Lonchura striata: one gene and its partners. The protein of the gene in region 1 interacts with the protein of each later gene in a pairwise test. Links are inferred from orthologs where the notes say so. Each region holds a gene or a part of one and is shown in the gene's direction. Other genes may lie near its edges.

The links. The genes of interacting proteins can lie anywhere in the genome.
Region 2: the proteins of UBE2K (region 1) and MARCHF3 interact in binary tests that used the Homo sapiens proteins (3 or more experiments, as listed by UniProt). The link is inferred for Lonchura striata from reciprocal best matches to the Homo sapiens genes UBE2K and MARCHF3.
Region 3: the proteins of UBE2K (region 1) and MIPOL1 interact in binary tests that used the Homo sapiens proteins (3 or more experiments, as listed by UniProt). The two-hybrid records come from large-scale screens. The link is inferred for Lonchura striata from reciprocal best matches to the Homo sapiens genes UBE2K and MIPOL1.
Region 4: the proteins of UBE2K (region 1) and DTX3 interact in binary tests that used the Homo sapiens proteins (3 or more experiments, as listed by UniProt). The link is inferred for Lonchura striata from reciprocal best matches to the Homo sapiens genes UBE2K and DTX3.

Annotation. Positions count from the first base shown.
Region 1 is NC_134606.1:22,965,983-22,973,218, forward strand, and holds the start of UBE2K (ubiquitin-conjugating enzyme E2 K), read left to right. Parts: upstream 1-3,878; 5' UTR 3,879-4,048; coding exon 4,049-4,111; intron 4,112-7,236. UniProt on the Homo sapiens protein: Accepts ubiquitin from the E1 complex and catalyzes its covalent attachment to other proteins. In vitro, in the presence or in the absence of BRCA1-BARD1 E3 ubiquitin-protein ligase complex, catalyzes the synthesis of 'Lys-48'-linked polyubiquitin chains.
Region 2 is NC_134642.1:83,596,971-83,605,230, reverse strand, and holds the start of MARCHF3 (E3 ubiquitin-protein ligase MARCHF3), read left to right. Parts: upstream 1-4,986; 5' UTR 4,987-5,110; intron 5,111-6,344; 5' UTR 6,345-6,493; intron 6,494-8,260. UniProt on the Homo sapiens protein: E3 ubiquitin-protein ligase which may be involved in endosomal trafficking. E3 ubiquitin ligases accept ubiquitin from an E2 ubiquitin-conjugating enzyme in the form of a thioester and then directly transfer the ubiquitin to targeted substrates.
Region 3 is NC_134608.1:24,430,358-24,437,984, reverse strand, and holds the start of MIPOL1 (mirror-image polydactyly gene 1 protein), read left to right. Parts: upstream 1-4,353; 5' UTR 4,354-4,481; coding exon 4,482-4,621; intron 4,622-7,627. Other genes in the region: SLC25A21 (mitochondrial 2-oxodicarboxylate carrier), read right to left, coding at 1,876-1,942.
Region 4 is NC_134629.1:5,163,301-5,170,771, reverse strand, and holds the start of DTX3 (putative E3 ubiquitin-protein ligase DTX3), read left to right. Parts: upstream 1-4,197; 5' UTR 4,198-4,243; intron 4,244-5,276; exon of another isoform or gene 5,277-5,287; 5' UTR 5,288-5,331; coding exon 5,332-5,344; intron 5,345-7,471. Other genes in the region: PIP4K2C (phosphatidylinositol 5-phosphate 4-kinase type-2 gamma), read left to right, coding at 85-123, 339-452, 1,519-1,768, 1,844-1,947, 3,081-3,161. UniProt on the Homo sapiens protein: Regulator of Notch signaling, a signaling pathway involved in cell-cell communications that regulates a broad spectrum of cell-fate determinations.

The DNA of each region.
Region 1 (7,236 bases):
TTAAATTTAAAAATAGCCTAGTTATATGAATATTGTTTCCTTTTAAAAAAATAAAGCACCATTATAAATGAGCATACAAACATTTAAATGCAAAGTGCATATAAACTAGTAGTAACACAGCTTGTAAAGTTAATCCTTATATGGATATCTCGTGAAATAAATAAAATAAGACTTTAAAATGCTACAGGTTCAACCTGTTTCTAAAGGGATTGAAATCAATATACCTATCTCTTGAGACAGCTTTCCTCTCCCAATAAGTAATCCTCCAGCAACAAAGAGAGAAGATCAAGCCTGACATTTTTGATTTTTCTAAACTAAAGGAGCCAAGATGAAGATGTGGTAGTTTTGTTATGCAAGACATAAAACAGTAAAAGAGAAATAGAATGCTGCATACTGCAAAATTAATGTTTCAAAAATTTAATTTTCCTCTAATCATAGGGGACTATCTCAGTAATTCCAAATTTTCTCTGAGTAGTTCCTATTGATATGAAAAAATATCCTATTGATATGCAAAAATAAAATTAGGAAAATATGGAAATGAAAAAAGATCACCATGAATCTTAACTTGAAGAACAGAAAGCACTTAGTGCTGTCACAAGCATCTTGGAGTCCCCAGGCAGTACACTGGTGCTGGGGGCATCCATAGTCTGGGAGAGCAGAACCATGCACACAGGGCTATATTGGATGTACAGCGAGTCCATTGTGCACAAACTTTGCATGAGCCATAGCCACTTTTCCATGAAAATGTGGGGAACTGTACATATATATACATTACATATATACATATATAACTTGTACATATATACAGGTTGCACGATAGACAGTACTTCCCACATTACATGGGAAATGCCTCAGTGTTTAGGATGTTTGGTTATCTTAGCATTGGCTAATGAATATTGTTAGCCTTTCCATATTGAGAGCTTGGGCTGAGGCCTTACAACCACTGACCCTACCAACTTTCCTCCTGCAATAACCTTACATAGTTTGAACTTCAACTATACCTCCTTCTCCCACTTACAGAAGTCTTTCAAAACAATATGCCAATCATGATAAACAATGCATATATACTCAGAATTGTATCTCCCACTCTACTAGTTGTGTTCAACACCAACGGGCAAAAGCATAAACCAATGTGCAGCCAGTTTGTAAAAGCTGCTATTGAAAGAGTTGTTCAGTATGAGACTAAAATGATGATAGGATCAATGAAAGAACTATCTCTTGAAATCATATATACTACAAACATTTTTAATTCAAAAAATGAGCTATGTTCAATGGACTACAGTTGTACATATAGTGTATGGATTTTTCCAAGGGCAAAAGACTAATGAGAACTTAATTCAGGGCTATGTTATCAACACACAAATATATACAAATATATTTCAGGGACTTCCATGTCTGACTCCCTAAATGGAAATATATTAGGGAGTCAGACATGGAAGTCCCTGAAATCACACAAAGAGGCCACATTCTAAATTTTTGTCTAAACATTATCTTTTTAAACAAATCAAAAATAAAACAACAAACAAGCCCAACTTCCCCCAAAAAACTAAACCAAAGCCCAAAACACCTATTCAAAGTCTATGGTCCTGTTCTACACTAAAACCCTGTAGAATCTTCTGTAAAATAGTAAATTATAATAAAGTATAAAACAGTATAGGAGACATAAAATGATACTCCCAGCAAGTTAATTATGTAAGGTACTGATTTTTATGTAGATTTTGATCCTGGCAAGACTCACTACTACTCTGTTTTACCAGACAAAAAACCCTTTCTATATCTGTCTTTCAGCAAAGAGAAAATTAACACAGTATTATGGTGAATATGAAACAGTTTTGAGATAAGTGAAAAATGCCTGCTTAAGGACAAGGGAAAGGAATAGGGTATACCAAAGAAAAGAGATACAGTAATTCATATTAATTTATTTTTTGCAGTAACAGACTCTGACATTTGTAATCCAAATGAGCACATGAAAATGAACCTAGGTACAAACCAGACAAAATCATTGCCCTTTACCATGGCTGTTACTGGATGTTCACTACCTATAACATAAAAGCATACTCACAGGAACACAAAAGATTTTGACACTTAATAAAGGTCATGCTTTCTACTCCATTCAGAGCAAAATCTGAATATTGGAAGCTTAGCTTCTTTCTGTGAGTTGTCTGAAAAGACATGAAGGATTTAACCAGGAGTTTTTATGTACTACCTTTATTATTTTTGGCTATAGTAGTCGTAGTTGCTCAGCACACTACAAACCTAACTTTCATCTAAGAGGCAAAAAAGACTTATCATCCTTTCTTTATTGGTGACAGTCAAGGGCACAGAAAAGCCATGGCCTACCTCCTCAGAAGGAATTTAAGACATATCAGTGGAACTCAGATGTCTAAATTATTCTGTAAATGAAGGACCAAAATCACACTACTAAGTCATTAAAAAGAAACCAGGCCTAATGCAAAATGGTCCTTTTCATAAAGGTATTGAAAACCTCAGCTGAAAAATTTGATTGTATAATACATTTTAAAGTTTTCATCTGAAAAAAAAATTGATGAACAGATGCAAATGGTACAACGTTTTCGCAGAAAAATGAATTTTTTGAGTCAAACTAGATGGGAAGAGTAAACACATTAAAAGGACTATATCCATCTGTATATAGTTGACAGATTTTAATTTTTTTTTTTTTTTTTTTTTTTTGTTGCTTGTATTTTCTTTATAGTGTATATAATAGTCAAAATGCTGTGTATACTAATGGAGGAATGAACAGCATTTGCAGATAACGCCCCTACCAGAAGTCAACATTTGTTGAGATGAATGTCTGTGTTGTATGTTGTCCTGCACTGCACTGTTAAAAGGGGGCCCGATAAAATGTTCCTGTAAACCTTAATGTCTTGAAAGCCTCTAGTTCCCGAATAAACAACAGTCAAAATCTAATCTAATGTTCTCTGAAAATCTATGCTCTTCGATAACATGCCTTATTTTCTATACCTCAGGTTAGAAGTTATGGTTACTGTTTCCCTAGTTCAGAATTCAGAACAGAAGCAGCATCTGTGGGTGCTCATGTTTGCTTCTGCAATAAAATGTTCATTAGACAGGACTGACCTTTGCTTTTTAATCTACTTTTAAAACACTGTAGCAGAATCTGTGAAAAGAAGCAGTTCCTTTCACTGTCCCCATTATGTAACCTGTTTCTGGGCCTGCAAGTTCTCCTGGTCCCGTGTGAGGAGGCACCAGTGTCTCCAGGGGGAGGGGGGAAGAGGACGAGGAGCAGGTCTGGGAGAGACGTGTAAGGAATAACATTTTTCTCTGCCGAGCATAATGGGGAAAAAAATAGTTGAGAACCGCTGTTACGGGCCCGGGTGAGCAGATTCTCAAGTTACGTGAGAGCCCTCTAGTTCTTTTTGCTCGGGGGCTTCACCAGCAGACATAGCAGCTGCTCCTTGAGCCAGCTGTTTCCTCAGCGACACCTCAGACGTTCCTCCCGCTGCCGCCGGCCCGGTCCAGCCCTCCCAGGCTGCTCCTTCCGCCGTTCGCGGCCCGGCGCCTCAGGGCTCGCCCGCTGCCGGTGCAGGGCCGGGCGGGAGCCATGACGACACAACGGTCCCAGCTGCGCCCCGGGGCCCGCCCGCGGCGGGGCTCTGCATGAGGGGTGCCGCCTCACGCTCTCGCCACGGGCCCGCCCGGCCCGCGACGGGGCGAGCGGCTCGGGCAGGCATCTCCCGGGACGGGCGGGTGGGCGGCCGGTGGGCGAACCCCTCCGCCTCCACAGGTGGGCAGCGCACCCTTCCTTCGTGGTCAGCGGGGAGGAGGCGGCCCAAAGCCCACCCGCCGCAGCCGCCCCACCGGCAGCCTCCAGCCACGGCCCCCCCAGCCCCCCCACCGCCCAGGTGCCGCTCCGGCCGCACTCCCGCGGCCCCTCCTGAGGAGCGGCGGCAGCCCTTTCGCGCATGCTCGGCGCGGGCGCCATTTTGGTAGGGCCGGGAGTTCTCCAGCGGAGCGGCGGTGGAGCTCGCTGGGCCCGGCGCGGAGGGGGCGAGGGGTGCCCGCTGCGGAGATGGCCAACATCGCGGTGCAGAGGATCAAGCGGGAGTTCAAGGAGGTGCTGAAGAGCGAAGAGGTCAGAGCCTCTCCCCCCTCCCCCTGCGCGCCGCCGCCACCACCACCACCACCCTCCCCCGTGTGAGCGTGGGCAGCAGTGGACGGTGCAGGCGCCCCGCCGGCCTTCGCGGGGACCCCGCACCCCCCTCGGCCCCACCTCCCCGTGCCGGAGGTGGGCCCGTCCCACGGCATCTGGGAGGGGAATGGCGATTCCTGGGGAGACGGGGGCCGCCAGCCGCTGTGAGGAGGAGGAGGGGGCCGCAGGAAGCGCGGCGGCAGGGCCCGAAGAGGCTGGGCGGGCCGGCACCCGGCGAGGGCTGCCGGCGGTCGGTGCTCGGGAGCGCCGCCAGGCCGGAGGCCACGGGGCGGTGCGGGTGGGGCCGGCCCGGCCCCGCGGGGACCCCCGGGGACCCCCGGCACGCGCCCTCCCGCGTCCGGCCGCGCGGCTCCGGGAGGGATGCGTGAAGCGGACTGCGGAGGGCGAGGTGGGGTGCGTGATCCCACACATCCCCTTCGGCTGACCCCTTTGGCTCGCCAGTGCCAGAGGCTGCAGGGTACGGGTTTAATGTTTGGGGTTTTTTAGCGGTTGCTATTAAACCCCCATTTAGCTTCCCTGTATACAGAACTTCCTTTATCCCACTGCAGGCTTACTCACCTTTAGATGGATGCTTTTAAAGCCTCACTCATTTCAGTCATGTTACCTCGTTTCCTGATCAGTATGTTCAGAGGTATGTGGTAGTCAGTAAGAGAGGCTGACTACTTTCAGGGCAGCAGTAAAGAAGTTCTGATCAGTTTGGGTGAATATATAGCAGTATTTGCAGGGTTGCATCAATACAGCTTTTGCTGTGTCTGTGTCTGAGTTGGTGGACGTCAGCCAGATAGGTTTTAATAGTTGTGTCGTCATTGTCGTCCTACTTGGGATGATGTTGCAGGTTAGATCTTTGTGAAATATTAATGTGAATATGTAAATCTTAAAGGTGGTGTTCCAGAAATCTGGACGTATTCACAGAGAAAAAATTGAGAGAATAGTTTTTGAAAGGTGTTAATGGCTTAAGGAAAGCACGTTTAGGGTAGCAGTAGTTAATGTACTTTTAAATTGTGTGCTAACAACATTGTTGCTATACATCTTGAGCTAGCCCCTAGAAAAATGTAAGGGCCTTGTTTTACAGCTGCCTTTAGAGCCCAGGCTGATTTTGCCAAGCCATTGCACAGCAAATACAGAACTGCATGGAGACCAAGAGAAATTTCTAGGTGGATACCTTTATACCAATGTTAGAGAATGTAGACCTCATACCCCGTATAACCAGCTGATACTGTGGAAACAAAAAAAGTCTATTTGGAAATTTGGAAATGCTTTCTAAATGCTTCAAAACCATTTCCCTTTGCTTTATGTAGAAAACAAAAAAAGAAAAAAAAAACCTTAATTTAAGTAGGTTTTAGGGGAGGTGAATGGTAAATTTTCTTACTGTAAAGGTTGGATCCAGTGTGCACATTTTTGTTTATTTCTGTTTGTTTAGTCTGCAGGATTTCAGTACAGAATTTTGGAAATGGATATTATTATAAGATAGCCTTTGAGCTGCCTGAAGCTAGCCAGAAAAAGGTCATAATTCTTATAAAATTCAATTAATGGAATTTCAAAATCATAGTACAGCAGACTCTTGACATTTATTTTTCTTCTGCCATTGGCAAACTACATAAGTGTCATGATATATTAGTATGTATAAAATTGCTGTTTACAGACAATACTAACTCCCATGTCTTTAATGCAAAATTTCAGCATTACTCAGTGGTTATCAAAGTTGCAGGCAAAGTTTTTTTTTGTGAATGTTTATACATTCCAGGGCAGTCAAACTATGATGTCCTTATCATTGGGTGTGAAAACATGTGGAGTGGGATGATGAAAAAAGATCCAACTAAATACTACAAATGACAAACAAACAAAAAAAAGTTTTCTTACTAAAATTATTATTAAACCTGGTTTCTTCAAAAAGAAATATTTTTAATGAATGGCAATGCTAAGTTTGTTTTTTGGAGGTTAATAAGTCCCTCTCTGAAAGCAAAGTGGCTCACATTATCTGTTCTTAAATTATTCCTTATTTAATGCTTCGAACTACTTGAAGGGCACCCCCCCACACACACACCCCACCTTTTCCTTGTAGATATAACAGGAGCATAAATGCCTTGGAAGGGGGTAGGCACACAGGGAGAAAAGCACATAGGAAGTTTGTTCTCTGTCTTTTTCCACTACTCACTTTTATGCTGAAATGGATGATGGAACTAGAAATGTTTTTAAAAGGGAGCAGCTGGATCAGTTAATTCCTTCTGCATTTGAAGTACGTGTTGGACGTGCTAAATCCAAATGAAGAAAGAATTCTGTAAAGTGTGTTTATCCTTGCTATGGATAAGGATCTATGAATCCTTGCTACACAGGACTAAATATACTTTTCATATTACTTAGTACTTCCTTTTTCCTTGAATGTAATTTCTGGGAAATAACTAAAATATGAAATATGCTCTCTGGTTTACAGGAAAGAGATGAAGGATCTTCCATAGTTCTAAGTTGAATCTGGGACTTATAGTGTTTTTCAAAAGTATTTAAAGTCTTTTCACTCTTGAGGAAGAGAAAAGTGCTTTTGTACTGCTTGCTGTATTATTTGTAGTCTTGTTATATACATGACATTACGTTAAGAAGTATGGTATTGTTTATTTAAGAGATATCTGTAACTTTACATCTCTTAAATAGTTGAATTAAATAGATAAAACTAACTAAAGTTAGTTTTAGGGGTTGTTAGGAGTGCTCTCTAAAGTATGATCTTTTGTGTGTGGAGAAAGCTTCTGCAGTTCTAAGGTAGGCGAAGTATTGTGCATCCATAACAAAGATGAAATTTTTAAGTCTAGGTAGTAACTTTACTGGTTAATTATGTGTAGGCAAGGGATCAGATGTTCCACTTTCTCCTTGTTCTGTCATTTCATTAATCTGTTATCTTGTGGGTTTTATGGGTTGAAATTCTAAAGCTACAACATCTATGTTGAACAAAAGTATAAAGCTGCAGCATGATGGATAAACCAATGAAGAGGTGGAAGGAGAATAGGATCCTGCTTTTACTAAGTAGAAAAAAAAAATTAGTGAAGGTTAGCTGGTAT
Region 2 (8,260 bases), on another chromosome or scaffold:
GACCTTAAATTTCTTAGGACATATGAGTCTGAAAAACTGGAGTGACTTGTGTTCTGCTTTGTGTTAACCACCCAGCCCAGCTGCACCAGGGGCTGCCTTTTCTGTGCTGCTCATTTGCTGCTCTCGTGGGCTGGTGTGTTCACTGACAGAATAAAAGCTGCTCCATAACAGCAGATAAAGTAAACTCTGTTAGTATGGGGTTGGCATGGCCAGGTTTGGGTAGTGGGGGGTGGTTTCTCTGAGAAGCTGCTGGAAGCTTCCCCTGTGTCCAGCTGAGCCAGGCAGCTCCAGGATGGATCCTCTGGCCACATCCTCAATGATGAGGAAGGAAGAAGGAGAGAATGTTTAATAAAATGACTGCAAACTCCATTCTCCATCTCCCTGAGGGGAAGGAGGAAGAGAAAATTGAGAGCGAAGTTAAGCCTTGGAAGAAGGGAAGGGTGGGATAAAGGAGTGTTAAAGGTTTAGTTTCCTTTGTCTTTATCCTACTGTGATTTGATTGGTAATAAACTAATTTCCCTAAGTCTCTGCTGCCTGTGACAGTGATCAGTGACTGATCTCTCTGTGTTCTCATCTCAACCCACGAGCCTTTTATTGTATTTTCCCTCCTCTGCCCAGCTGGTGAAGGGACTTGACTTTTGTGGGTGTGTGGCATCCAGCCAGGATCAGTGTTTAAAAGATGATTAGCACATGTAGACGTAGATTAGACTGTAGATGTGTAGAATTCCTTGAAGAAGTCTAGGAGCCTATCCTAAATGATAATTCAAAATAGAAAATAGAGCATTTACTGTTAAATTAGAAGGACACTTGATTAAAGACCACACACTCTCAGTGGAATTGTCATCATCACAATTTGATACAGTTATTGCTAACACCTAACGCTGAACAGTTTATTTTTCACATTTCAGTTCTGTCTTCCACACAGCTGCAAATCCGTTTATCATGAGACAAAAATGCCATTTTTTTCAAGGATTGCTGCAGTTAGATTAGTTACATTAGTTACATAGGCAATGCAGGCCTGTGAAGGAGACAGAATGCCCAAGTTAAACATATTTTCAGGAAGAAGAGAATGACAGATTCAGGAAAAGACAACCATTTCAGCTTAAATAATCTGTAACAGACTGGAGAAAGATGCTGGTATTTTTGATGTATTTAATAGATTCTTTAACACAGAAACTAATCCCTACCTGCTGCATTTTCATTGTTCTTATCATGGTGATACTCACTCTTTTCTCCTTACTAGGAATTTAAGCAGGCTCACTTGACAGATGTGCCTTCACAGAGGGAAGAATTCAGATGCAATGCCTGGCTGGAACACCAAACTGAAATAAAGCAGGCTTCAAGAAAGACAAGTCTTAAGTTTTGGAGAATGGTTTAATAAGTCAGCTGATCTGCTGTGGTGAAAATGGACTGCTCCTTCATGCCTTGTCCTGCAGTGTCTTTAGCATTTGACAAATAATTTGCAATCTAGTTTTGATGTATACCCCAATATGAAAAATTTCTGGGGAGGAGGGAATCAGAAATTAAAACTTCCAGCTTAGCAGCTTTACTCCACTCAGGTTCTGAAACTATCCAAGAATTCCCAGGAGGGAGACCTGTGCCATTTTTTTAGCAGAGAACTTGAGGTAAGATCAGCCAGATCATGGATCCACAATGTTTTTCATCACCATTAGCAGAAGAACAGAGACAAACATTTCTATGCTTTCTGCAGTTCATAAAGCTACAGTCAAAGTTCTAACTGTTCCACGGGTTACTGTTAAATAAAAGATCTGAATTATCTCTCTATCAGCAAGTGCCAGTTGCCTTTCTTCTATGATTTGAGATGGTTTCAGAGGGCCCAGGTTTTTTCCTTACTGAGGTTTTGTGATAAGAGAACTGCATAGAGCACTTGTCAACCATAGCTCAAGTGCTCTTCTAAAGTGTAACAGCATTATCTCAAAGATAGGGACAACAGAGGTCATGTGGACTTGCCCCATTTCCGAAAATACATAACTGGCAGAGACTGGCAGAACTCTCAGGGAGGTTTTTGCCTTTGTTTTATTTTAGTAAGGTCTGTTTTGGCAAGGAGAAAAAGGAAGCTAAAACCAAACTTCTTAATAATTTTAGAGCTGATTAATCCCTTGTTCCTTTTTCTGTCAGACTGGATATTTTCCTCTGTAGCCACTGCCACATACTTTTTCCCCCACTTATTTTGTAAAGTGAATGATAACAGGATTTCCTTAATTTTTGTCCATTTTGTTGCTTTTGTGAGTGAGATTGTGCTTTTCCATTAGGGCTGTGCTGCTGAAAACCTTCCAGTGGCTTTACTGTTCTGCACTTTTAAGAGAGTGGAAACCTTCTTCTCATCAGTTTGGACACAGGGACAGGAGGTGGGAATGTGTCAGTATGGAGTGTTGGTGACACAGCCTCACCTTCATTTTCCAAATGCAAGAAAGGATGCATCCTATATAAATTTGAGGGGTTTATTTCCCTTCTTGAATGTAAGAAATGCATCAGACTCCCAGCACATGCATCTCTCTAATCAAATGTGTTGAAGTATAACACAGATATTAAAATGAGAAGGTATATGCGCCTGCTGAATATATATTTATGGAGCAATATGCAACTTTATGAAAACTGGCAATTTACTTTTTTGACAGTGAATATTGGCAGGAGTGCAAAAGTTTGTAATGCACTATTTCTGTAGTAAAATGAGAATGAATACAAAATGGATTTACTTCCTATTTCTGGCCAATTAAAAAGCACATAGACAATGTCCCATCTTCTTCCACTAACTACAAAAAACAGATACCCACTGGGCTTACTTTCTTCTGTGTTCTGCTTCTCTCTTTCTTTGTGTCTTTAAATTGTACACGAGACATGGAAGAAAATGTCTCATTTCTTTTAGGCACAGCACTCCAGTCACAGTGTCTTCCTGTCCAAACTGGCCTGTGGTACATAATCTCAGATTCAGCTGTAATCACATAGCCATCTGGATTAACTACACGTGGAACTAAACAAAGCCCCATGTGCAAGTGTTTACAAGATCACTTTTTTTTGGTGGTGTTTTTTTTTTTTTTTGGGGGGGGGGGGGTGTTTGTTCGTTTGTTTTATTTCAGTGGCAATATCACTTTCCAAGCAGTTTTGCTTTATAGTCTATCAATAACATCTCTCTTCTTTTCCATCATGACCTGCTGGCAAGAAGGCTCCATCCCATTCTTGTGAAACTGCTTTGCCTCATAGACCCAAACCTAAGTTTTTGAAAACTATGACTGGAACTGTGAGAACAGAACAGTTTCCAGTTAGGGACCTCCATCTGAATAATGGCTTGAGCTGCTTTGGCAAAAAAAAAAAAAAAAAAAAAAAAAAAAAAAAAACCAAAACCAAAAAAAACATGGGAAGAGAAACAAAACCATTCTTTGTCCTCTATCCTCACCTCTTGTAGCATTTCAGATCAAATTCTGATTCTTGGTCTGGATCTTCCAGAGATAAATTACATATGACCAGGTTATCCAAAGGGTAAAATGAGTTCCTGCAGGAATACTCCCAGCTGTCTTGTCCATGAAATGAACTACAGGGACTGAAGGCAGACCTTCCTCATTTTCCCTCAGTGCTGCCTTCTGGGGCACATATGGCTGATCACGAGGATAAAAACTAAATCCCTCCCAGTCATACCCAAATCTCAGTGAAATGAGACAAAACTACATCCACTCCCTTCTCCTGGGGAGAAGGCTAAAGAGCAATGTTGTGACATGGATTACTGGCATGTACCTAGACATGAGGTCAGGGTGTGCAAAATTCAGGGTCTTGCTACAGGGCAGGTAGTTTTAGCCTGCCACAAAAAGAAATGAGACTTGGGCCATGTAATCATGAGTCAGTCCAATCCTTTCCCTTCCTTTCTCCCCTTCCTGGGTCCCTGGTTTATTTTTATTTTTATTTTTAAGTGTTCTGGTTTTTTGTTGTTTTGGTTTTAGATTTTGATTTTTGTTTTGTTTTCAGTTGGATTGTTTTCCTTACTATGACATTCCCTGAACATTCCCTGGACATCTGCTTCCAAAAGGTGGCACATATCTCTCCATTCAGTGGAGAAAAGCATGGTGAATCAAACCACATTGATACACACAGGTTTGATTTATACACCACACACCAATTCAGGCTTCTTCTCCAGCAGGTGAGACATCCATTGCTACAAGATCTCCAAGGTGCCAGGAGCTGAAGCTGCAGATCTGTTTGCAAGGCTGGGATCCAAGCAACTTCATTGATGTCCCCACTGCATGGAACACATAAATTCCTGCTTAATTTACCTTACCTGCCTCCTGCTAAGGTGTGCTGAGTGACTTGGGCCTGCCAGGCTCTCTCTTTTTATTTTAATACACACAGGTATCACCTGTGTGCTGTTTCCATGCCCACCTGGAAGTGCAGCTGTGCTGCTGGGGGTGAACATGCAGGTGCAAATATAGGTGGGCATTTTTCTTGTGCTTCATTGGAAGGAAAGCAAACCAAGGGCAGCTCCTCCCTGCCCCTGCGATTTGCCTTCTAGTAAAATTTTAGTACATCTTGCTGCTTTAACAGGGCAGCTGTATTCAGGGAACACAACAATTTTAGGAAACACCATCTCAGCCCTGCAACAGTACTTTACTTCCGAACAAAGCAAGCGTGACAGAGGCAGTGAAATGGAGAACTGTGGCTGGGCAAGATAAAATATCAGCCTAGGGGTTTGTCTTTTGGAACTTGGGGCTGTCGTTTTTGATGCAGCTTCAACTGAGTCTCAGCAACTCCGGCGCCTTCACCGACCTCAGCCCCGCAGCAGCTCTGGGAAAGCTCCTTCCCTCTCGCGCTGTGGCTCTGCTGAGGTTTTTAACTCCCGTGTCACAAGAAAAGGATGAAATTCCTTGATTCCAGGCTGGCAAGGAGCTGTCGCTCCCCGGGCGCTCCTTTGTGTCGCTGCTGCTCCGCGGGTACCGCCGGGGGAGGAGGAGGAGGAGGAGGAGGAGGAAGAGGAGGAGGGGTTGATGGAGCGAGGTCCTGTAGCGACAGCCGAGCCGGAGGCTGCAGCTCCTGGCTCTCTCCCGTGGGTTTGGCAGCTTCATCCGTATTTTTGGAAGGACAGCTGAGGGTCCGGGTGGAGGAGGTGAGTTCCCTGTCGCTCCCCGGGAATTAAAATGCGTGGCTGTCGCGTTTCTGGGCTGGAGGTAAATTGCTGCTTCTTTCTTCTTGTTATTCCTCTTATTGCTTGTGTTATTGTCATCGTCATCAACGTTTTCCAGTAGTTCGGCTGAGGTTTGGTTTTTACTCTTTCATTAGAATAAAAAAACGAAGCAAAACCATTTGAGGAGTAATAATGCCCAGCGTGAAGCGATCGGGCTGGCGGCTCTCAGGCAGAATTACCTTCGGGACTTCGGAGCCGGGGAGGAAAGAAATACAGTTTCCTTCCATTCCAGAGGCTGTGACAAACTGTAGCCATTTCTGGGATTTAGCCTAGAAATTCCAAATCTTTTTTTTTTTTTTTTTTTTTTCCTTTTATTTTCTTTAAATTCTTTTTCCTTTTAATTGCCGGGTTATCACAGGGCTCTTTGCAGATATGAGGAGTTGTGAAACTACTCAGTAATGTACCTGCCCGTGTCAGAGGAGTTTAACTTTCAAAGCAAATCAATTGTTTAAACTTGCATTTAACCCTGTGTTGCCCCCTCTGGGGCTGCTGATGGTGCATGCAGCATGTTTACCAAGTAGTGTCTCAACTTTGGACTGCACAGGGCAATCCAACCATTCCCAAGTCTTCAAACCAGTGAAAGCAGAGCGTGTTTGCCTATTAGAGATTGACTGTTTTGGCAAGGATGTTTACAGGCCAGCCAAGGTCCATTGGAATAAGTAGGAAAACTCTCACTGATGGTGACTCATGTCCGTGGGCTTTGGACCAGAGCAGGGTGTTGGAAATGTGCTTTGCCAAGTGGAACTCGGTAGGTAACCCTCCCACAGCCCCCTTGGCTTGTAAAGGGAGTGGGATGAGGTGCAGAGTGCTGTCAGACAGAAACTTGTGTGTTTGTGGCTGCTTTAAATACATTTGCTAATTGCACGTGTGTTCCTTGGGGTTTAACATGTCATTGATCTTTTAATTCATTGCCAATGGCTTAGTCTGCTGCTGTTTGTGAGGCTGATGAGGCAAATTGCAGCCTTTCTGCAGTAATTATTATTGTGGTGGCATCTTGGGGTGTGCAGTGTCTGCTCAGAAACTTCCAGGTGTGGGGTGCTTGTGAGTGAGGTATCAGACTCACCTGGGAAGACACAGATTTCCAGATTTCCCAGTCAGATTTCCCAGTCAGAAGGGACTTTTTCTAATGCCTTCTCTGATCTCTTGCTTATCACAGGCCACACAGGATTCACAAATAAATTCTACATCAAGCCCACGACTTCTGTGAGGTCTCCACTTGCCCCCATGGACAGGCTCCATCCACAGCAGGGCTTCAAGCACGTTTGAGACACTGCCTGGTGGCTCCCAGGCTTGAGCTCTGAAAGAGTGAGTAATATCTTCCATTTTAAATGGCTGTAATTAGGCTGGGAGCTATTTTGATCTATCAAAATATGGTTTTGCAAATAATGCCTATTAAAACACATCAGGGTAGCTGTGGTTGTTGTGGCTCTTGTGTTGGCAGAGCCACTTTCTCTTTGAATTTGTATATTTTCTTGTTCTCTGCAGCAGATGCAAAGAGATGTGTTTGGTTTCTGTAGTAGCAGAAACTTCACCTACCTTTGAAAACATTTGGAAACACATCTGTCTAGTGTGTTCTTTGCATTCCTGTAGGGTCTCTTGATAGAAATTTTAAGGGGGAGCTGTTTCTGAATGGATTCATCCTCACACCACCATTGATCAGATGAAAATATTACCCTAAAGATGACTCCAGCTAGTTGGAGCAGGCCCAGAAGAGCCATTGTGGGCATCCTTCCATTAAAATAAAACAGATTATAGACCAAGGAAAAGTACCTGAGAGCGTCACAAAAGTGGTCACGGCAGATTTCTGCTGCCAGGAGGGTGTCCTGCTCTCCTTATGGAAGCTGGCAGGAAGAAATGTTGCTGCTGCTGCTTAGACCCACAGTCTGAAAGGGAGGGAAATTATTTGTGACACAGTGCAGGAAGGCTTGTCACAAAATCAAATTGCTGAAAACCACCAAAGTGGTAATAAGAACGCTTATCTAGGGATTCTTGCACTGCTCCTGTGTCATCCTCGCTGTGTCAGCCCCTTGGTGCTGTGATATAGGTATTTTTTACTGTCTTTGCTACGGTGCACCCCTCCACACAGCAAAGAATCTCATCTGTCCCTTGCTTGTGATTACTGGACCTGTTTTCAGAGCAATACAAAGCAACAGGAAGGGAAAAAAGAGTCTCTGGTATCTCTCTCACTTTGCTCTCATTTAAGCTTAGTGCAAGGCAATGTAGATCAGAATTAATTACTAATTCTAATTATACTTTGTGTCTTGGAGATATTGATATTTTCAATTTCAAATTTATGCATCTGCAGCTTTTTTTTTTTTTTTCCTCCACTGCAGCAACAAAGCCAGGAAAGCTCTTAAACACATGCCTATTTTAAGCCTGCCAGCAGTCCCTTTGACTTAATTCAGCTGAGTGGCCCAGGGCAATAGTTTAATATAAAATTCTCTCTGTCCTGATGGCAGTCAAAGTTGTTGTGGTTTTTTTTCAGGGCATTGAGGGAAGAGGAGCGAGGGAGAAGGGGAGAAGTTGTTTATTCCTGAAGCCTAACACAACTTAGCCAAGCTCTTCTGGGTAAACCCTCAAAATGGGGATTCCTGTGTGTTAAAAATTCTGGTGTCTTGGTACTTGTTTTCACCCTGAAAAAACTCTGGGTTTTGTGTGATACTCACTCATTCCAGACAGTTTTAGAAAGCCTTGTTAATTCCCACAACACTTAATTATAATAAAACCACAATTAGATCTGCCTCAGACATGTCAGTTTCTGACCTGGAGTGCGCCCATGCCTTGGCACTTTACAATCCTTCTACACTCCCTTGTCTTCACCTTTTTTCTGCATAGTGTCTTGCACCTTCCTGTTTATGCCAGTATTTACCTCACAGTTTTTCTTTCCTTGATGGCCAGCCAGTATATTTGCCAGGACCTTCACTCTGCTTTTGTGTTTTACTCTTCTCTGTTCAGTGTCAGCCTGCACACTCTGAGCAGCTCAGGACAAGGATTTCAGTCGGATTTCTCCTTCTGTGTTTGTCCCCATGCTTGGACATCAGCGTGGTCATCACAGTGATATTTCTTTGATTA
Region 3 (7,627 bases), on another chromosome or scaffold:
TAAGAGCTCCCATTTGAAGCACACATATAAAAATCCCCTGGTACAATTTTAGTGTTGTTCAGACTCAGATAATAAATCATTACTGGTTTATTTCAAAAGAAATTAATAGAAATTTCTGCACAAATTTAAGGCTAGTGACACAGCTAAGGAACTTGCCTGCCTGACAGGAGTTTAAGCAAAAGGTTGCCAGCATCTTTAACATTATGTCTCTGGACTAGATCCAACAGGCCTCTCACATTATACTTTTTCTAGAAAGTGTTGCATGCGGATCAATAGTCTCCTTGAAAATTCTCTCACCCTAATACAGATGCCTACCAGATTACCAAATATTTTTCATTTATCTAAATCACAACTTTTTTACTGTTGTGTTAGGCAATCTCTTCTTCTACAAAGAGAACCTATAGCAAAAACAGGCTCCTGCCAGAGGATGGTAACATAGTGCATTAGATCAATCTGAATCACTAAGGCACAGGCCAACTGCTAAGGGCAGACAAATCTGTCATCTTGCAAAACATCTGGTGGCAAAACACCTCACTATCCCTTCAGGTATGACGGGTTTTCAAGAGTCTAGGACAGAGTAAACCTGTCCATTCTCTCCTATAGAAAGATGGGGGTGGTACCAAGCAGAATCAAAAAAAAAAAAAAACTTTAGAATTTCAAAGGCTGCAGAAAAGCTACATAAACAGTCATACAATACATTGGAAGGTCAGGGACAGCAGTCATACAATACACTGGGACACCAGACTTCTCCACTTCTGCTATGACATCTCTCACTGTCAAGGGGGAAGGCTGAAAACAAAGGGCATAGAGAGTCACTAGCATGAAAATAAACTGCTCAAATGTGTGTTGGTGGCAGGAATGCATAGGAGTGGATTTAGAGGTACAATGGGAATTAGAAGGAATGGAAGACCAGGTCACATGTCATGTCACGGCCACAAAGGTCTCAATCACAGGAGAATTCTTCTTGTGCACATTACACTGAAGCATTACATAAGACACAGCAACATTACCATGTAGCTCTTCTCTTTCATGTAAAACATATTATGACAGACAGCACTTAGACCTCAGAAGAGACATTAAGGAACACTTAAACACACACTACATAATTGAAATATTAACAAGATTTACATATGCAGACTGAAACAGCAGGATACTGTGTTAAAATCTCCTACACTGCAAGCTGACTTAAGTATTTGTTCCACTGGGATTCAGGTAAGAAACCGGAAGAAATTGACTAGCAATGCTTTCCTTGCTAAACAGACGTGTACGATTTTGACATTTGTAGCTTGCAGTACAATCAGACTACAAATGAATGAGTAATGTCGACATTCCTAAAAGTATTTAAAAAACCCCACAGGAATGCATTTCCACTGTATCCCTGCATTGGTTTCTCTGTAACTCAGCGACGAAGAGCGTCACGGGGAAGGTGTCTGAGCAGGGCAGCTACGTTTTCAGTCCCGTATCCAGGCGCTGGAGGCGGATCCCCGCCGCGGACTCCCCCGAGCGCGGTTCCAGCCCTTGGGGCCGGCTGTGCTGCTGCCGTTGAAGGGGCCCGCCCGCCGCTCTTATCGCCCGAGGGGCTGCAGGCGTGCGTGGCGCAGATACACCGCGGAGCCAGGGAGCGCCCCTTCACCCCCGTGCCCCACCGGCGGGCCGAGCACCGTTACAGAATTTGCCCCGGGACCCCCGGGCTTTGGTCGCCTCCGGGCCCGCCCGCGCCGCCCGGCGGGGGAGGAGCCGCCGGTGAGCCGGTGCGTTCCCCGCCGCCCGAGCAGCGCGGAGCGGGGGAGGCGCGGCCGCCGGCGCCTCAAGTTGGCGGAGCGCCGGCGGGGGACGGGCAGACCCTTCCCGCCCACGAGGAACGCGCACACTCACCCGCCGAGCCTCCGGCGACGACTTGGTGAGAGGCCTCCTGCAGAAAGCCCCGGGGCTGCCGAGCCATCCTCACCCGCGCCGCGGCGGCGACGAGAGGGAGCAGGCGCCGGGAGAGCGGCCGCGAGCCGGGCCGAGTGCGCGCTGGGCGGCTGGGGAAGAGCCTGAGGGGCCGCGGTTATCTGCGGGCGGGAGGGGGAGCCGGGGGCGGGGGCGCCGGGCTGCGGCCCCGCGGCGGCCTTTGGCAGCCGGCCCCGGGCAGAGGGCGGCCCCGGGCGCTGCGCGGGCTCGCAGCTACGGGCCACCGCTTCCAGCCGGAAAGCGGCAGCCTCTCTCTCTCTCTCGGGGCACAGCCGGGACGGCCGGCGCTGCGACCGTCCAGGCTGGGGCGGGGAGCGAGGCTGTGGCACTGTCAGCTGCCGTCCCCTGCTCAGGCTGGGGCCGTACACTCCCGCTTCGGGGCTGGTGCTATACAGCGCGCATCCTGCTCCCCATCGCTGCTGGGACCCAGCTAACACCCCAAATCCTCTGCTCCTCAGCTTCTAGGAAGGGTCGCTGGTGCCGCTGGGATCACAGGCTGTCTTTTTGAAGACTGCTGTCCTTCTAAAACCTTTAGTCTAAAGGACGCGGGTATTTTGTCGCTTGGAGAGTAACTATTACATGTATTACAGGGACCTGTGGACCCATCTTAGTAAAAAAAACGGTGACAGGGCATGGGCTGGAAGTGGTGGGACATAGCGCCATTGCCGACAGCCTCCAGCAGTGCTTTCGGCAAGGCCAATTTCTGCTTTTCCAGAAGATGCCCGAGTACAACGTGGGGGACAGCATGGGCTCATCCCAGAGGTAGCACCATTTAAGGGCAAGACAGTTAATAGGGCTGTTCTGATACATTAGTTTGCTGGGTGCCTGTTTGTGATAGTTTAGCCACAAATGTTGCTAACTGACTAGAGGTTCCAGCTTTGAAAGGAAATGTAGCTTTTTGTAACGTAGAACAAAGATTAGAAGAAAACAACGGGTTTATTGCTACTGAAAAGGACGGGAACGTAGGAAATGTACAGAGAAGTGTTAATAAAATGCTGAAAGACTGAGACCCTAATTGTAAAAAGGAATAATAGTCAGGTATAGCATTCAGTTATATCACTTGAATGCATCAGCAAATAAACAATAACATGGAGTTTTGATCTATATAGGAGCTGAGTGTGGATTGCTGTGAGAATACAGAATAACTCCCTTAAATTAATAAAACTTGAATGTGCCGACCTTTAAGTAATTAAAATCTCAACTTCAAAGTTTCATTAGCATTTGCCTTAGTTCCCTTGGTTTGGCTCCTTGATAATGCTGCTCAATAAATACTTCTGGATGATCAAGTCTCCAGTGTTCCCTATCATCAAGAAGCAGATGCTGAAGCATTACCACTTTTTTGTTCCAGAGATGTAACTCTCCTTGTGCAATGCTCTCTTGGGTACAAATAGCAATTCTAGTATTAAGGTGGACTTTGCTACAGTATTTCGACAGCAGAGAGAATTTGGAGTTCATCAGAGTGCAGAAACTGGTCAGATAGATTTGTTTTCTGCATGTGTGTTTTCTGCATCAAAGAGAACAGCAGTCAGAATGCATGTAAGTTACATGGATGTTCACACAGTAGCATAACACCTGCTCCTTTAAAGAAAACAAACAACCTCTGCTATTGTTAGAAAACCATTAAGGTCGTTTCACGGTATTCAAACTCCAAATCTATGCCCCCTAATTCAATTCCCCAACTGAAAGTCTCTTTGGCATATCTCCCTTATTTTCCATCCACCCCTCCCTCCTCCCCCACAAAGGGCAACCTCCCCACTATGCAGGTTTCCTAAAGCACTTCTAGGCTCAGTCCTATTTCCATATGGCCTCATCCGAAACCAGTACATGAGCGCCACTCCATTCTTGTCCTCGATATCCCTGGCAAGGTCTGTCTCTCCATTTGTCCTTACTGCGTCCCTTGGTAGGGAATTCCGTCCATCCCGGGCAGCACCCCTGCGCTAACACCCGAGAAGGAAACCGCAGCTGCCCGAGCGGGGGCAGGACGAGGAGAAGAGACCCAAGAGCAGCGCCGCGCCCGCCGGCCCCGCCGCGCCGCCTCTCCCTCCCGCAGGGCGGCGCCCCCGCGCCCCGGCCCCGCCCCCGGCCGCGGCCCCGCCGCTGCGCGCTCCCGAGGGCGGCGGGCGCGCGCGCCCCGGCCCCGCCCGCCCGCGGCTTTGTTGCGGAGGCGGCGGCGGGGCCGGAGCGCGCAGGTAACGGGGCGGCGGGGCCGGGTCGGGGCCGCCCCGCGGCGCTCGGGCTGGGACTCGCCCCATCCTCTGCCACGGGCTCGGCGGCGCGTCCCGGCGAGACGGCGTTAGGTCGGGCCGCTCTGCCCCCAGCGCCTCCCCGCGGGCGAGCGGCCCTGTCCGGCCTCCTCCGGCCCCGGGAGCGAGCCGCCGGGCCCTTGCGCCGCTGACCGGCTGCATGTGCCGTGGCAGCCCCTTGGCTAGGTTAATGTTACCTCCCGCGGCCGCCGGGCGACCCGGCTGGCCCGACTTTCCGCCCGCTCCGCAGCTGAAGACAGGGGGAAGCAAGTTTGCCGTGCGGGGATGCGGGGCTTGGAGTCCCAGAGGCGGCGGCTTTGCGGGAAGGGAGGGGGCGGACTGGCTGCCGCCTCTGGGAGGGGGACAGCGCTGAGAAACGGACCGGGACAGTCCGAGATGAAACCTGCCCCGAGCAAATTCAGGAGGTCGGTTCTGGATCTTTAGTGTCAGATGAGAACAAAGTGTGCAAGATGCTCTTCATTGTACTAATGCTTTATAAAAAAAAAAAAAAAAAAAGAGGAAAAAACTGCACCAAAAGACCTTGCCAAAATAAAGTTTGTGCTTTTTTTGAATATTTATAACTTAAAGCTTCTTAGGAAATCCCAATGAACTGTATACCTCAGCTCCTCTTGTAATTCCTGCTAATCAGAATTCTTGATGATGATGTGAGGATCTGTTTCTTCTGAGGAAAAAGGCTATGGTTTCTCAGTGTGAAGAATTTGGGAGAAAAATATTCAATAAATGTACCCAAAGGACTGTTCTACCTGAGACAGCACACCTTCTGATGTTTGATGTTTGTCCGTGGAAAAACTACAGCTGGGTCTAAGTACAACTTCAGGGGCTTGAGGTGATTGGAGCTGGGTTGCTGTAAGAGTTTATTTGGGAATTCAGAGTGTAGTATTAGGACAAAAGCACTGTAGTTGCTTTTGAATATTCTAGAAAGTTCTAACTCCACTTAGAACAGTCTTAAATTGCAGTGTTTTAGCAGTGGAAGAAAAATCAGTTAACCACAGCAATGTGCTTTCTGGCTCAGAAGATCTCGGAGGTTCTAGGATCTGTGGATTTTAGGGAAGTGCAATGATGCTCTTGCCTTGTTCTTGTACCTGTCCTTGAGCATCTGTACTTGGCCAGTTCTGCTTTGGGAATGTACAACTCTGGTTTAACTCGAAACCACTTGTTTTAGATTTTGTTTATTTAAATATGTTATGGGGACTAGCTTATAAATCTCATAAGGTTTAACGAGAGTTAAAACTGTCATGCCAGTTAAACATGCTGCTTATGTGGTAGTTCTGTTTTATTTTGGTGTTTAGTACCCAGAATGTTGTAATTCGTGACAAGGTTCTTCAGCTGTGTGAGATAGAGCTATGTACACCAGTGAGGTGCCATCAATTTGATGGCTGTGAGCTCTTCTGTTCTGTCACTGGTAAAGGGATTAGCACTGCTTTCAGGATTTTGAAAGTGATAAACTTGTCTTGCCTGTCCAGCTAAGTTACTGCACTTCTGGTTGCAGTATGAAAAGTGAAGAGATGGACTGGGACATGAAATACATATGGGATTTAAGAAGACAGGAGCAGTTGCTGCTACTTTCTCTAGGTATTTTAGGTTTTCTTGCAATGGTACTGCAAGTTCCTTACAGTTTGCAATGGTGACTACTGCCCAATAGTAGTGGGTAACAAATTAAATTTCAAAAATCTCTTCCCTAGTTTTCACATGATAAATAATTATATTTCTTGCCTTTTTGATTGTTTGCTTGCTTTGTTTCTGGATTTACTTAATTTCTCTTTTAGTCATTAGTTTACCTGTTTGGGATAAGGAAATGTTACTTTTCTTCACATCCTGTTAATCTATCTCCCTGCTTGTTAGAAGTCATTCTAGATGCTGCTAAATTAGAAATGCATTATAATGGTATTAAACTTTTTCCCTGACCAGTAAGAAGCAAAACAATGTTTTATTTCATGCTTAGTATTTCTCTTGTAGCAAGACAAATCCAACACATTGTATTACTGGCAGAAATAGTATGATGCTGATGCCACATGACCCACGTTTGCTTTTTGAAGTTTGTGGGGGTTTTAGTTTCGGAGAGCACCTAGGTTAGTAAAAAAGTAAGGGAGTTTTCAGATCTTGCTAGAAGCGGTTAGGGGAGAAGGGAAAATACATGTTCAATAGTTCTCTAGGGAAATAATCAACAAATTATTCATTAGAATTTAAAGCAAGAAGATACACATGATCCGAGGATGAAGGGAAAGAGCATCCTGCCTATACATCACAGATTTGTGTAAATTTAGTTGCGAACCTGAGAGATATCCTAATGGATCTTTATGCTACCTACTTTTTAGTCTGCCAAACATAGGGCAGAACAGATGCTGTGTGTTCATAGCAGTGAAATGCCATAGTGCACTTTTAAGCTATGAATTAGTGATCTGATGCTTACTTTAGTGCAGATCACCAAAATAAATGCAGAAGCTTCTTGTCACTTTTACTCTGTTACCCTATGTGGGCAATTGATGTTTTGAAACTTACCTTTGAAACAAACAAGCAACCCTTCTGGGCTGACGACTATTGACAGATTTAACTACAAGCTAATGTTGCAACTGACAGGTATTCCTGTATGACTGCTGCCTTTTTCCTTTTCCTTTGAAAGAAAGATGGTTTTGAAGAAGTAAGAAAACTGGAGTATTGAACCTTTTTTTGCAGAACAGCTACAGCTATGGAAAGAAACAGTGTGACTGCTCAGTTGTTAAGATGATTCTCTGCTGCTTTCAGCCACCAGTTTTTTAAGTGACAGGATGCTTGGCATGCTCCCCGCTAGTTTTGCGAGGAAGCTCCCCGCTTGCTTCTTAACAGCAGGCTACTGCTTTTCATGATGATTCTTGATGTGAACCTTTGTCCTTTAGGGACAGGTTAAAATGCAAACTGACAGTTTCTGTGGAGTGGTGGCCTTTGGTATAGTAAAGAATATTATATATTAGAATTTTGAAAATAGTTTATACGTATATTGGCTTTATGTGGCAAGGTTCTTTAGCAGGGGATCTACAGAGGATCTTCTGTGAGAAGCTGCTAGAAGCTTCCCTCATGTCTGACAGAGCCAATGCCAGCCAGCTTCAAGATAGATCCACTGCTGGCCAAGGCCAGCCCTGTGAGCAGCAGTGGCAGCACCTCTGGGATAACAGAGTGAAGAAAGGGGTAAGGACTGGGAATTCACTTGCGGCTGGAGAGGGGAGTTAGAATGCGTGAGAGAAAAAACTCTGCATACCCCAAGGTCAGTGACGAAGGACAGGGAGGAGGTGCTCCAGCCACCACAGAAGAGATTCCCCTGCAGCCTGTTGTGCACGCCATGGTGAGGCAGCTGTGCCCCTGCAGCCCAGAGAAGATGCCACACTGGAGCAGGTGTCTGTGCCCAAAGGAGGCTGTGACCGCATGGGAAACCTGTG
Region 4 (7,471 bases), on another chromosome or scaffold:
GGGGCGCCCCCGAGCCCCTCTGATCCTCTTCTGGGGCGGCCTCCCCCCAAAACCCCTCCGGTCACCTCTGCTCCCTCCTCGCAGGGCTCCCTGGTGGACCGAGAGGCCAGTGACAAGGAGAAGGTACTGCGGGAGGACGCCGTGACCCCCGGATTTGGGGAGGGGGCTCTGGGCTCCCTCTTCCCTCCTCCCCGCTGAGGACAGCTCACTGGCTGCCCCCCAAGGGCCGGATTCCCTCCGCAGGGGCTGCGACCCCCAGGGACGCAGCCTGGGGGGGGTCCCGCGGCTCTGGGGGGTCCCCTCCAGCTCGGGGGTGTCCCCCCGCTGTCCCTCCCCAGGGCAAGGAGCTGCCCACGCTGAAGGACGTGGATTTCCTCAACAAGAACGAGAAGGTGTTCGTGGAGGAGGAGCAGCAGCGCGAGTTCATGGACAAGCTCAAGAGGGACGTGGAGGTGGGGACGGGGGGGCTGCAGCCCCAGGGGTCTGAGGGGATTGGGGGGGGCTGTCTCTGCACCCCAAGTGAGCCTTGGTTGGCCTCCCAGTGCCCCGGCTCTGAGGGTTTTTGGGGTGAGGCTCCCCTGTGCCCCGGCTCTGAGGGTTTTTGGGGTGAGGCTCCCCTGTGCCGGGCTCTGAGGGTTTTTGGGGGAGGCTCCCCTGTGCCCCAGCTCTGCGGGTTTTTGGGGGAGGCTCCCCTGTTCCCAGGCTCTGAGGGTTTTTGGGGTGAGGCTCCCCTGTGCCGGGCTCTGAGGGTTTTTGGGGGAGGCTCCCCTGTGCCCCAGCTCTGCGGGTTTTTGGGGTGAGGCTCCCCTGTTCCCCAGGCTCTGGGGGTTTTTGGGGTGAGGCTCCCCTGTTCCCCGGGCTCTGGGGGTTTTTGGGGTGAGGCTCCCCTGTGCCTCAGCTCTGAGGGTTTTTTTGGGTGAGGCTCCCCTGTGCCCCGGCTCTGAGGGTTTTTGGGGTGAGGCTCCCCTGTGCCCCGGCTCTGAGGGTTTTTGGGGTGAGGCTCCCCTGTGCCCCAGCTCTGCGGGTTTTTGGGGTGAGGCTCCCCTGTTCCCCAGGCTCTGCGGGTTTTTGGGGTGGGGCTCCCCTGTTCCCAGGCTCTGAGGGTTTTTGGGGTGAGGCTCCCCTGTTCCCCAGGCTCTGGGGGTTTTTGGGGTGAGGCTCCCCTGTTCCCAGGCTCTGGGGGTTTTTGGGGTGAGGCTCCCCTGTGCCCGGGCTCTGGGGGTTTTTGGGGTGAGGCTCCCCTGTGCCCCAGCTCTGCGGGTTTTTGGGGTGAGGCTCCCCTGTTCCCAGGCTCTTAGGGTTTTTGGGGGCTCTCCCTGCAGCCATGAGTGTCCCCCACCCCTAATGACCCCCTGGTTGTCCCCCCAGCCCTGAGATTCCAGGGGGTTTTTGGGGACCGTGTCCAGTACTTGACAGCTGTGGGGGTCCCTTTCTCAGCCTCCAGGCCCTGGGGGCTTTGGGGTGAAGCCCCCCGGGGGTTTTGGGGTGGCCTCCCCCATGGCTGCCGTGTCCCCTCAGTTCCTGGTGCAGCAGAAGCTGATGGACTACAGCCTGCTCCTGGGCATCCACGAGGTGGGCCGGGGCGAGCAGGAGGAGGAGGAGGAGCTGGAGGAAGAGGAGCCCGGGGGCGGGGGCGATGACGGGGGGCTGGGGGGCCCCTACGGCACCTCCCCGGAGGGTCTCGGGGGGCTCCTCAACTCCTACCGGCCCCTGGGGCCCGGCGAGTTCGACCCCGGCGTGGACGTGTACGCCCTGCGCGGGGCCGAGGGTGAGCCGGGGGCTCGGGGGGTGCCGGGGGGTTTTGGGGTGCCGGGAGCGCTGAGCCCCCCGGCCGTGCCCCCAGGAGCCCCCCGGCGCGAGGTTTATTTCATGGGGCTCATCGACGTCCTCACCCAGTACGACGCCCGCAAGAAGGCGGCGCACGCGGCCAAGACCGTCAAACACGGGGTGAGGGGGCACCCCGAAATGGGGGAGGGCACCCTGAGCTGGGGAGGGCACCCCTAAATGGGGAGGGCACCCTGAACTGGGGGGAGGGCACCCTGAGCTGGGGAGGGCACCCTGAAATGGGGGACGGCACCCTGAACTGGGGGGGAGGCACCCCGAAATGGGGAGGGCACCCTGAGCTGGGGAGGGCACCCCGAAATGGGGAGGGCACCCTGAACTGGGGGGAGGGCACCCTGAAGTGGGGGAGGGCACCCTGAGCTGGGGAGGGCACCCTGAACTGGGGGGGAGGCACCCCGAAATGGGGAGGGATATTCTGAACTGGGGGGGACATTCTGAACTGGGGGAGGGCACCCCGAAGTGCGGGGGGAATTCTAAACTGGGGAGAGGGCACACTGAACAGGGGGGCAGCACTTCCAGACTGGGGTGCAGGCATCTCCAAGCTGGGGAGCGGGCACCCCAAAATGGGAGGGAGGGCACTTCCCAACTAGGGGCAGGGCACCCTGAACTGGGGGGTGGCATTTCCCACCTGGGGGGGGCAGGGCTGGCTCCCCCTTGGTTTTTTGGGGAGGTGGGGAGAGGGAAGGGCTGGGGGGACACGGGTCAAGCCTTCAGGGGAGGCTTTGGGCGGGGTAAAGCCCCGGCAGGGTCTGGGCTGTGGGGAGCTTGGGGCGGGGGTGTTGTGGGGGTGCCAGGAGGGGCCGGGGGTTGTTACGGGGTTTGGGGAGGGGTGTTGTGGGGGTGCCAGGAGGGGCCGGGGGTCATTCCCGTTTTGGGGAGGGGTGCTGTGGGGGTGCCGGGAGGGGCCGGGGGTCGTTCCCAGGGTTTGGGGAGGGGTGTTGTGGGGGTGCCAGGAGGGGCCGGGGGTCGTTACGGGGTTTGGGGAGGGGTGTTGTGGGGGTGCCAGGAGGGGCTGGGGGTCGTTACAGTTTTGGGGAGGGGTGCTGTGGGGGTGCCGGGAGGGGCCGGGGGTCGTTCCCAGGGTTTGGGGAGGGGTGCTGTGGGGGTGCCGGGAGGGGCAGTTTTGGGGAGGGGTGCTGTGGGGGTGCCGGGAGGGGCAGTTTTGGGGAGGGGTGCTGTGGGGGTGCCGGGAGGGGCCGGGGGTCGTTCCCGGGTGGGCTCTGAGCGCTGCCCCCCAGGCCGGGGCCGAGATCTCCACGGTGCACCCCGAGCAGTACGCCAAGCGCTTCCTCGACTTCATCACCAACATCTTCGCCTGAGGGGGCCCAGGGGCCCCTCCCGCGGGACCAAAACCCCAAAACCCCACGGCACGCCCTGCCCCCCCCCAGTGGGGCTTCACTGCTCAAGTGCCTTAACTCTGTGTGCGGGGGTCCCGGGGGGCTCTGGGGTGCCCCCCCCGCACAAGGGGCTCTGGGACCCCTCCCAAAGCTGGGGGGGGGGTCAAACACTACTTGCCCCATGGGGGGGTGAAAGGGACCCCCCGGTCATGGCTGCCCGGGTGGGGTGCAGCCCCCACCCCTCTTCCCAGGGAGGCTGGGGGACGCTCCCTGCCCCCCTCCGCGTGGGACCTGGGGGGCTCCACAGCTCCCCCCCTTTTTGCAGCTCCCGGGGGGCAGGGGAGGGGAGGACCCCGGCCTGGTGGGACCCCCGGGGGGGGCGGGACGGGACCCCCGCCCCCCATTTGTGGGAGTGTCGCGTGTCGTGTCCCCCCCCAACCCCGTTTGTGGGGCTCCTTCCCGTGCTCTGTACCGAGAAATAAATTATTGAACCGGCCCCGCGTCTGCCCGGTTCCCTGTGCCCCTCGGAGCCCCCTGCGCCCCCAACCCCGGCTCCCCCTTTCCTCTCTCCCTGCGCCCCCCAACCCCGGCTCCCCCTTTCCTTTCTCCCTGCGCCCCCCAACCCCTGCTCCCCCTTTCCTCTCTCCCTGCGCCCCCCAACCCCTGCTCCCCCTTTCCTTTCTCCCTGCGCCCCCCAACCCCGGCTCCCCCTTTCCCGGGGACCCCCAGTTCCCGGCTGCAGGCCACGCCCCCGCCGCTCTGGCCACGCCCCCAGACGCGTCGCCCCGCCCCCGTTGCCATGGTGATGCTCCGCCCCCGTTGCAATGGCGGCCCCGCCCCCGTTGCCATGGCGACGCTCCCCCGTTGCAATGGCGGCTCCGCCCCCGTTGCCATGACGACGCCCCGCCTCGGTTGCCATGGCGGTCCCTCTCCGCCCCGTTGCCATGGCGGCCCCGCCCCCGTTGCCATGGTAACGCTCCGCCCCCCGTTGCCATGGCGGCCCCGCCCCGCGCGGTCACGTGAGCCGCCGGACGCGCCCGCCATGCTGCGCCCGCCCGGGCCCGGTGGGTGCGGGACCGGGACCGGGACCCGGGACAGCGGCACCCCGGCTCCCCCCGGCTCCCCCCGGCTCCCCCCGGCCTCCCCGCCGCGCCCCCGCCCCGGCTCGGCCCCGCCATTCGCCCTGCCCGCGCCCCCGCCCCGGGCCTGCCTGCACCGCAGCGACCCCCGGGCCCCTCCCCGGGCCTGCCCGATCCCCTCGGGCCTTACCGGGACCCCCGAACCCCCCCGGGCCCTATCGGGACTCACCGGCTCCCCCTCGGGTCTCATCCGGACCTTCCCCGGGCCTGCCCCGGCCTCCGCGGGACCCCCGGGCCCGACCTGTCACCGCCGGGCCCGCCCGTCCGCCCCGGGACCCCCGGGCCTGCCGTGCCCCCCCCGGGACCCCCGGGCCTGCCCCGGGACCCCCGGGCCTGCCGTGCCCCCCCCGGGACCCCCGGGCCTGCCGTGCCCCCCCCGGGCCTCATCGGGACCCCCCAGCTCCCCCAGGCCTGTCCCCCCCATTCCGGGCCCATCCCCCCCCGCGTCCCCCGTGGAGCCCTCGGGGGGATGGGGGTCACCGGGGGTCACCGGGGGTCACCGGGGGGCACCGGGGGGACCGGGGGGCACCGGGGGCCGCGGCGCGTTCATCCCCCCCGGTCCGCGGGCCCCACCTCGCAGCGAGGGGAAAACGGGTCTGGGGGGGCCGGGGACCCCCGGAGCCGCTGCCCCCCCGAAGGGCTGGTGGGGGCTGGGGGTGCCGCGGGGTCCCCTGGGTGCTGCCGGGTCCCCTGGGTGCCGTGGGGTCCCCTGGGTGTCACGGGGGTCCCCTGGGTGCCGCGGGGTCCCCTGGGTGTCACGGGGGTCTCCTGGGTTCCGCGGGGTCCCCTGGGTGCTGTGGGGTCCTCTGGGTGCTGTGGGGTCCCCTGGGGACACGGGGGGTGGTGGTGCTGTTGTTTTTGTAGGGTGCCGTGCGGGGGGGGTCCAGAGGGGTTGAGGAGCCCCCCCAATTGGGTCTGGGGGTGGAGGGGCCCATCTGAGACCCCCCGTGTCCCCCCGTGTCCCCCCAGCCCCGGGCTCGTGGCTCTGCTGATCGCCTCGGCTCCTGTCCCCCATGGGCTCACCAGGTGGGTGTGGGGACCCCCCGCTCTGGGGACCCCCGGCCTGTGACCCCCTCCCCCCCGTGCCCTGGGGACCCCCTCCCCCCGGGCTGTGGGACCCCCTTGGAGCACCTTCACCCGTGGGACCCCCCCCCGGGTTCAGGGGTGCTGGGGACCCCCAGCCCTGGCCCCACCCTTGGGGGTGACGGTGTGGTGACACCCCCGGGGTGTCCCAGATTCGGGGCACGGGGACAGGTTTGACCCTTGAGGTGGCACCTTGGGGGGGTGAGCGTCCCCAGGGGGGCAGGGGGCTCTGGGACCCCTCAGGAGCCCCCCTGGGTGCCATGCCCGGGCTCAGGCAGCCTGGCAGGGTTTTGGGGGGGTTCACCTTCAGATTTCGCTGGGTTTTGGGGTGACCCGCAGTCCCCAGGCTCTGGGGTCTTGAAGTGCCCAGTGCCAGAGGATTTTGGGGGTCCATGCCCAAACTCAGGTTTGGGGGTGCATGCCCTGGCTCAGAGGGGTTTTGGGGGGCCCGTGCCCAGTCTCAGAGGGGTTTGGGGGGATCCATCCTCAGTGTCAGAAGTTTTGGGGGTCCGTGCTCAATCTCTGGGACTTTTTTGGGGTCGATATCCAGTCTCAGAGGGGTTTGGGAGGGTCCATGCCCAGTGTCAGAAGTTTTGGGGTCCTATGCTCAGACTCTGGGAGTTTTTTGGGGTCCATATCCGGTCTCACAGGATTCTGGGGCTCTGTACCCAGGCTCTGAAGGTCCCATGCCCAGATTTTGGGGTTCAAAGTGCCCCATGGCCAGCCCTTGATGGTTTTGGGGTGTCCCCCCTGGGTTTGTCCTGTCAAGAATGTTGGGGTGTGTGGGGGCCACCAGGTGATGGTGCCAGTGGGGTCCAGTCCCTGGGGGTTTTGGGGTCCCATGCCCAGTCCCTGGGGGTTTTGGGGGTCCCGTGCCCAGTCCCTGGGGGTTTTGGGGGTCCCATGCCCAGTCCCTGGCGGTTTTGGGGTCCAATCCCCAATCCCTGGCAGTTTTTGGGTCCCATGCCCAGTCCCCGGCAGTTTTGGGGTCCCGTGCCCAGTCCCTGGCACTTTTGGGGTCCCATGCCCAGTCCCCGGCAGTTTTGGGGTCCCGTGCCCAGTCCCCGGCAGTTTTGGGGGTCCTGTGCCCAGTCTCTGGCACTTTTGGGGTCCCATGCCCAGTCCCCGGCAGTTTTGGGGTCCCGTGCCCAGTCCCTGGCAGTTTTGGGGGTCCTGTGCCCAGTCCCTGGCACTTTTGGGGTCCCATGCCCAGTCCCCGGCAGTTTTGGGGGTCCTGTGCCCAGTCCCTGGCAGTTTTGGGGTCCCGTGCCCAGTCCCTGGCAGTTTTGGGGTCCCCCAGGGCCGTTCATGCTGTCAGGGATGTCGGGGTGCAGTGGGGCCGCCAGGTGATGGTGCAGGTGGGGCCCAGGCTCAGGAGGTTTTGGGGGTCCATCTCCATCCCCTGACGATTTGGGGTGTCCCCGGGTGTTTAGGGGGTCTGTGCCCAGTCTCTGGGGTTCAAGGTGCCCAGCCTGGCACTTTTGGGGTGTCCCCGCGGTGTCGAGGGTGTCGGGGTGTGGGGGCCCCACCAGGAGTTGGGTGACGGTGCCAGCAGGGTCTGGTCCCTGGGGATGTGCCCAGCCCCGGTGTTTTGGGGTGTCCGTGGCTGTTTTGGGGTGCCCATGGTTGTTTTGGGGTGTCCGTGGCTGTTTTGGGGTGTCCGTGGCTGTTTTGGGGTGCCCATGGGTGTTTTGGGGTGCCCATGGGTGTATTGGGGTGTCCGTGGCTGTTTTGGGGTGTCCATGCGTGTTTTGGGGTGTCCGTGGCTGTTTTGGGGTGCCCATGGGTGTTTTGGGGTTGGTGCCCATGGGTGTTTTGGGGTGCCCATGGGTGTTTTGGGGTGCCCATGGGTGTTTTGGGGTTGGTGCCCATGGGTGTTTTGGGGTGCCCATGGGTGTTTTGGGGTGCCCATTGGTGTTTTGGGGTGCCCGTGGCTGTTTTGGGGTGCCCATGGGTGTTTTGGGGTTGGTGCCCATTGGTTTTTTGGGGTGCCCGTGGCTGTTTTGGGGTGTCCATGCATGTTTTGGGGTGCCCATGGGTGTTTTGGGGTGCCCGTGGCTGCTCTGGGGT